Linked DNA regions of Mus musculus: region 2 is reported to be linked to region 1. The links are microRNA targets in miRTarBase. Many come from high-throughput screens and were not tested one by one. Region 1 holds a microRNA gene; the other region holds the end of a gene's coding sequence.
What was found. Region 1 holds the annotated microRNA mmu-miR-323-3p (CACAUUACACGGUCGACCUCU, at 2,381-2,401, shown strand). A microRNA usually pairs through its seed, bases 2 to 8, with sites in the 3' UTR of a target mRNA and lowers its output. Matches are read on the target gene's strand: a 7mer-m8 pairs with bases 2 to 8, a 7mer-A1 pairs with bases 2 to 7 and ends in A, and an 8mer does both.

Region 1 (3,417 bases):
TACTTGGAGAGATAGTAGACCGTATAGCGTACGCTTTATCTGTGACGTATGTAACACGGTCCACTAACCCTCAGTATCAAATCCATCCCCGAGGCCCCTGGAGAAGATGCTGTCTTCGGGGAGACGCCAGTAGACTCATCATCAGGGCTTCTCCATGATGCTGGAAGAGATGGTTTTCAATATGGCGTGTGTTCTTTCCTGCATGATGGGAAATGACATAATCTCCCCCTTCCTCTGCTGAGCTCTGCCTTGGGAACTCTTGCCATCTCTGGGGAGGAGACCACAAAGCTTTCTGGGATCAGTGCTCTTCGTGACCTCAGTGACAGGGGTGTCTAGGCGACTCTTGGTTAGTAGACTCCATGACCTGCTTCTTCTCAACACCATCCCTGAAGAGGTGTCCTGAGGCAACCTGGCAGACATGAACCTTCTTACAGCTGTCCTTGCTGTCACGCGGTACTTGAAGAAATGGTTTACCGTCCCACATACATTTTGAGTATGTATGTGGGACGGTAAACCGCTTCTTGGTATCCAGCCCAGCCATCCAGTCCATACCATCCTCGAGCAAGCCTGAAGTGAGAGAAGAAACGTTGTTTTGGCTTGCTCTCTACATCGGGCTGCTTGGCCAAACATCCCTCTGCTTTTTGTGTGCTTTCTCTGTTAATTCATGTGGCAAGGTGTTCCTGTCAGCTTCAGTGCAGCCCTTAAGGGCTTCTTCAAGGATGATGACAACCTCCAGGAAGGTGTCCTACATCCCAACTGGGCATGCTCCCTCCCTCCTTAGGACTTGAAAAAGTGGCAATTAGCTCCACAGATGCTCATCATCAAGGGATGCTGCGTGTTTTCATCATCTGCAAAGCTATCATCAGATGCCTTCAAGACATTATGCCCATAGAAGGACAGCTAGGGCTACATGATACAGTGCAAAGACAGATGCATGAAGACACAGTCCCTGTTTCCACTGATGCTTCGTATATAGTATCTTTTTTTCCATATCAAGTCTAGCCTTCTAGAGGAAGATGACCCAGCCTGGCTCCTCCATGTATGCTTACAGATCAAAGTTGCTTCTTGGCTCACTTCTTCTTACCTCCAGCCCAGCCTTGGAGAACTTGCTGAAGATGCTGCTAGCCTCAGAGACAGGGCTCTGGTTCTTGCATCAGCAATGACCTCACGGTACCTGAAGAGGGATCAAGCAAACTGCATGTGTATTATTAACACCATTTGTAACCTGGCCTACTCTTTTCAATATCAACTTCAGCTTTGAAGGTTTCCAAAGAGGCCCCATTAACCTTGGGGGTGGGGGGGCAAGGCAGAAGGACAAATGCCTTGGGGTAGAGGTTGTCCATGCTTCTTGCTTTACTTACAGCGCATGTTAATTTGGTCCACCTTCCCATAATAGTGAATGCGCCTTGGGGGCTTCCTGTGAACAATATTTCCTTAAAGGCACAGTGCTAGTTACGGGGTCTTCTCTTCGCGTCCTTGCAAACTTCTCTTTGCTATATTCTCTGCATCTGCAGCAGGCAATGCATGGTGGTCTCTTTTCAACATTGCATCTAGGGTTTCCTGGAAGTGATAATCATGAGGAAAGAAGCCAGCTCCTGCACCACCCTCTCTCCATGGTACCTGAAAAGATGGTTGACCATAGAACATGCGCTACTTCTGTGTCGTATGTAGTATGGTCCACATCTTCTCGTTATCAAAGTCATTCGTGAGGGTTTTCCAGAGACCGAGCCAACTTCATGGGAGATATCCTGTCCTGGCTTCAGCACAGTACTTGGGGAGATGGTAGACTGTCGAGTGTGTGCGTTAATTCCAGCATGTACAGCATGGTCCACCACATCTCTGCATCAGCCGGTCACCAGGGGCTTTCTGAAAGCCATACCAATTGAGAGTAGGGCTCAGGCGGCAGACCCTATCCAACACAGATTACCCAGTGCTTGGCTACAGGCCATGTTCATTACCTACGACTCTGGCCATTTGATCCAAAGCCAATATTTGGCACCCAGCCCAGCCTTACAGGGCATCCTGGAAGTCATAGTGGCATTAAACATGAGTTTGTGGCCATTGCCACACATGCCGATTGCTGGTAGTTTGTGACACTCATTGAGAAGGCATTTTGGAGGTAACACCAAATTAAGTAAAGTGAGCTGGAATCAGCCAGCGTTACCTCAAGGTATTTGAAGATGCGGTTGACCATGGTGTGTACGCTTTATTTATGACGTAGGACACATGGTCTACTTCTTCTCAATATCACATCTCGCCTTGGAAGACTTCCAGGAGGTGACATCTGCTTTGAGGAAGAGCCAGTGTCCCGGTCTTCCTACTGCTGCTGCTTGGTACTTGGAGAGAGGTGGTCCGTGGCGCGTTCGCTTCATTTATGGCGCACATTACACGGTCGACCTCTTTGCGGTATCTAATCCCGCCTTGCGAGCTTTCCTGGAGCTAACACCAGCTGTGGGGTGGGGACACTAAATGTGTGTGCTAGCGCAACCCAGCCAGCGGGTTTGTCTTTTCTTGTGTCTGACAATAACTCTTGTGTGGCAGCCTTCTTCTCAGCAAATTTCTCTGGCTTGGCAGCTTCGTGGGCAGGGTGACTTGCAGACCAGGAAAGTGGCATCGACATGTGATACACGTGTGGGTGCGTGAGGTGGTTGACCAGAGAGCACACGCTATATTTGTGCCGTTTGTGACCTGGTCCACTAACCCTCAGTATCTAACCTTCCCTTGGAGAACTTCCTGGAAGAGATCTCAACTTTTGGGGACAGAGGCAATAAGCCAGCTGTACGCTGTTAGACTTGGAGACAGCATCCTCAGTACTTGCAACATATGTGCCTGTTATGGTAGTATTGGATGGGCTTCCAATGCTGTCCTATACTTGGATCCCTTCCTTGATATGGGGCCATCCAAGTTCAAGAAACGTACCATGTTGTCAGACATGACCAGGGTGTGTGTATGCCATTTATATATGGCACAGGTCGCAGGTCACCTTAGCACACTTGCATGCTAAATCTGTGGGAGGAATCATCTTTGGTTTGGGGGCATCTGTGCCTTTCTGTGGTTACCCAAAATGGTGGTAAGTCCTATAGCCAGTCTCTACTGCGCCACTGCTCTCTGGTTGTGACATAACTTCAGGATCATGCCATGGAGGTCTGCTGTACTGGGGCATGTGATGGGATGGCTGTCAGATATATATCAACTAATGGCTTGCTTGAGCACTTTGACTAACATCCAGTGTGCAACCCTGCATTCAACAGGCCTGCCAGGTCTGAAGGTCACGTTGGGGAATTACCGAGGTAGTCTTGTCAGTGTTCGCTTCTGGTACCGGAAGAGAGGTTTTCTGGGTCTCTGTTTCTTTGATGAGAATGAAACACACCCAGCTAACCTTTTTTTCAGTATCAAATCCCATCTTGGAGGCTTCGT
Region 2 (3,417 bases), not on the chromosome of region 1:
GGGATTCAGTTTCATGGGGAATTGTGCTATATTGCTCACACTCATTGAGAAGCTTCAGGTTTGTACATAAGGGTTTAAATGATCATTTCTAACTACACAGGACACTGTAAGATGGTTTTTCTTTTCTGTTTCTTTCACAGACTACACACCGAAATCGAACCATGAGTCAAAGTCACAGCACAAGGGACAGAAAAGCAATACATACTCCCACCGAGGACCGTTTTAGATATTCTACAGCTGACCAGACAAGTCCCTACAAGAATATCTGCCAACTCCCAGGTCTGTGTCTTAGCAATTTCTTGAAGGACAAGGAATTAGGAGGAGTTATGAAACACACAAGGGGGAACCACGAAGCTGTCACATCAGAAATGACTCAGAACTCAAGGACAACTATGGGACAGAGCTTTCTGAAGGCAGCAGCTAAGCCAGAAGGGCTGCCCATGTTCTCAGAAAAACCAAAGGACCCAGCAGCTCTGTCCCGACAGCACTCCACCTTCACAGGCAGATTTGGACAGCCACCCAGAGGACCTATCTCCTTACACACATACAGCAGGAAGAATGTTTTTCTCCACCACAATTTACATACAACAGAGTTCCAGACTCTGGGCCAGCAGGATGGGTAGAAAAATCTATACCCTATGAACAATAGAAATGACTACTGTTCCATGTGTCACCTAAGAGTGGTCATGCCCATTTTACTACTTTTATGTTTAGCTCTAAGCAAAGACTTATGGGCTTTTATTTTATTTCTAAGAATGACAGCTTGAGTATGTTGACTGACTAGGTTGAATTGTTCAGAAGACTTTGCTCTCTCTATGGAAACATACATGTATAATGAGTGAGATGATCTTGCTGGCTTATGTAATCTATAAGTTATTTCTATTTTTTTCTGTATCACTTGCTAATATGCATTGAGGTTTCAAGAAAGTAATGTCAAATAGCTCTCTGTTTATGCTGTTATTATAAGGTAGGTTAGAAGAAGTATAAGAAGGAACTGTACAGCTTTAGATTACGTAGTTACTAGAAAGAGCAGAACAGACTTAAAGCTTATACTAGGTGGTATGTTTGTTAGTGGAATGAAGCTTGTGTGCATGTAACCTGAGATACATTTGTCTCTATTACATACATTCAAGCTTGTGGAGCTATTGGGAGGGAAGGACCATTTCTTTAGTTTTTAGAATGTTTAGTTACACTAGTTCATAAGGGATAGAAAGTCACAGCTCTGTTCTTCACAAAGTTGTGCTTTTTAGTTTTATTTTTGTTTTCCTACTGATATACAAAGTGTCAAAATATCACAGACTGAAGTGACAGTCAGCATAATTTTGTCAAATGGCACACTCAGTTATCATCATGGATAAAGAACATTTTTTCATTTACATTTCAAAGATATAATATTCTAAACTATATATTCTTTTGCTACAACTTTTTGTATTTTCAAAATATTCATTTATTTTTATATACATCTAGGTTTACTTTACATTCATTAAGCCATGATTTTTTTAAATTAAGAAACAGAATGACTGGTTTGGTTTGTTTTGGTTTGTTTTTTGTAACTTATATATAAAATTCTGGCTACACACTCAACTAGACTTTCAACAAAATATTGAAATGTGTGGATTTTGGCAATTGGACCTACAAAATAAATCTCCAACCAAAATTCTTGAGTCTCATTTTGTAGCAAATATTAGTCTTTGACATGTAAGGTCTAATATGTTGCATACTTATGTGTATAGGAGATAGATCCAAAAAGCTAAATAGAAGCATCATGCTCTTTTAATAAGAGTATCAACTGACTGTTTCCTTAGAGAAAGTTCAGGTCTAGTAACTACTCACATTCAGTACAGTGGATGGAATGAAACTATCAAACCCAGTGCACGTGCTATTTTTCATGCATTCTCTATCAGACAGAATCCATCAGCATGCACGGATGAGACGAACAAATGGGAAATGACATGGCAGTTTTAGCATGCCATTTGCCTAAGCTGCTATTAATAGAACTACACTGAACATGCATTGCCTAATATAAAATATATATTTGAACTCTACATTTTGGGGAAGAATCCTGAGTTGCCCCTCCCAGCTTTAATTATTGAAGTTTGGCTAAGCTTGTTCTTAGTTGATTTGGCTAGCGAAGACATGTACATCACGCAAGCTCTCTTGTGTTTTGTGTGTGTGTGTGTGTGTGTGTGTGTGTGTGTGTGTGTGTTCATAATTCTGCTAAAGAGGAAAAGGCACTGCAGCTTGCTGCTTAGCGTTCCCAACATCCTCTAGGAGCTACAAACCTCATGTGGATGTGCTATATGGGCTGGATGAAACTTGGGAAATTATAAAACAAAATGATTAGTTGTAGAAGTCAGCTTGATTTCTGTTGAACATTGTTTTTTATTGTTAGAATATTTTACAACTGTAAATACCCAAGCATGACACACAAAACAAGGGTTTTTTTTTTTTTTCCTCTCCAGGATATGGAAAAATATGCAAGGAAATGAGTAATGTTTTTCATTTGCATTTTGACGTTTACAGTTAAGTTTTCTTGGAAGATAGCTTTTGAATTATACTTTGTAAGAAATAATCTATTTAAAATACCCTGTCATTTAATAGACATTTTAAGAGATGTTTTGAACACTAGTATTTTCTTGACAAACCTTTTTTAAACTGAAACATTCAAGAAGAAACCCTGGGATAACCTGCTCACTTTTGAAAGGAAGGGTATTTTTGGAACGATCACCTTGAGACTGTTCTGTATCAGTATTTTCATCTGTGTTCTAGTTTCAATGTAATACCCAGTGTGACTCAGGCCTATAGAAGGTGCAAGCCCATGACGTTAGTGCAGGCCAGAAACAATGGCATGGGGTTCTTTCAGAAGTTTCTCTGTATGGCTATCGTAAGTTCTAACAACCTCGCGTGGGCATTCTTTCAGTGAATTGATTTCTTTGTACTAAAATCTCTAGTTTTCTAAGCCTGTTCCACATATTAAACAGTTTTATACATTTCTCCAAGGCGGTACATATCCAAAGACATGATGCCAGGGAAAAAAAGTGCTTGTTTTTCTGATGAAGCAATGGTCTCCTCCTTTTTCTTCTTTGCATGTATTTGTGTAGCTAAGTCTGAATACTCATGTAATATTTCTGCTGCAGACTCTTCTCAACACCAGATGTAGAAGAGTCATTCCTTGAAGGACAACTGTGTCTACCTGAAATAAATGATTCCCACTTTTGTAACCACTGGAATATGAGTCTTTCTTTCTAGATCAAGTCTACTGTTGTGTTTTCTAGATTTCTATATGCTAAGTGTCACACAGAATCTTGAGCAATTTCCAAAACTATCTTTGCTTCTCTCATCCACAGTCATCTTTGTCTAAATGATGCAATGAAACTCTTACTGCCACTGTATAACAATTAATCCACCTCTAGCAAC

Region 2: miRTarBase lists Ccser1 as a target of mmu-miR-323-3p. Seed matches in the 3' UTR shown: 7mer-m8 at 928-934 and 7mer-m8 at 2,490-2,496.

What each region holds. Positions count from the first base shown.
Region 1 is chr12:109,710,178-109,713,594 of GRCm38, forward strand. Mir323 (microRNA 323) reads left to right here and starts at 2,331; the gene lies at 2,331-2,416. Mir299a (microRNA 299a) reads left to right here and starts at 461; the gene lies at 461-523. Mir299b (microRNA 299b) reads right to left here and starts at 516; the gene lies at 468-516. It overlaps Mir380 (microRNA 380), which reads left to right and starts at 1,626; the gene lies at 1,626-1,686. It also overlaps Mir1197, Mir758, Mir411 and Mir329.
Region 2 is chr6:62,379,645-62,383,061 of GRCm38, forward strand. It overlaps Ccser1 (coiled-coil serine rich 1), which reads left to right. Exons shown (of 11, transcript NM_183310.2): 11 at 141-3,219. The coding sequence ends at 623. Among named protein-coding and RNA genes, the nearest start is that of Gm22212, 820 kb to the right of the region's middle.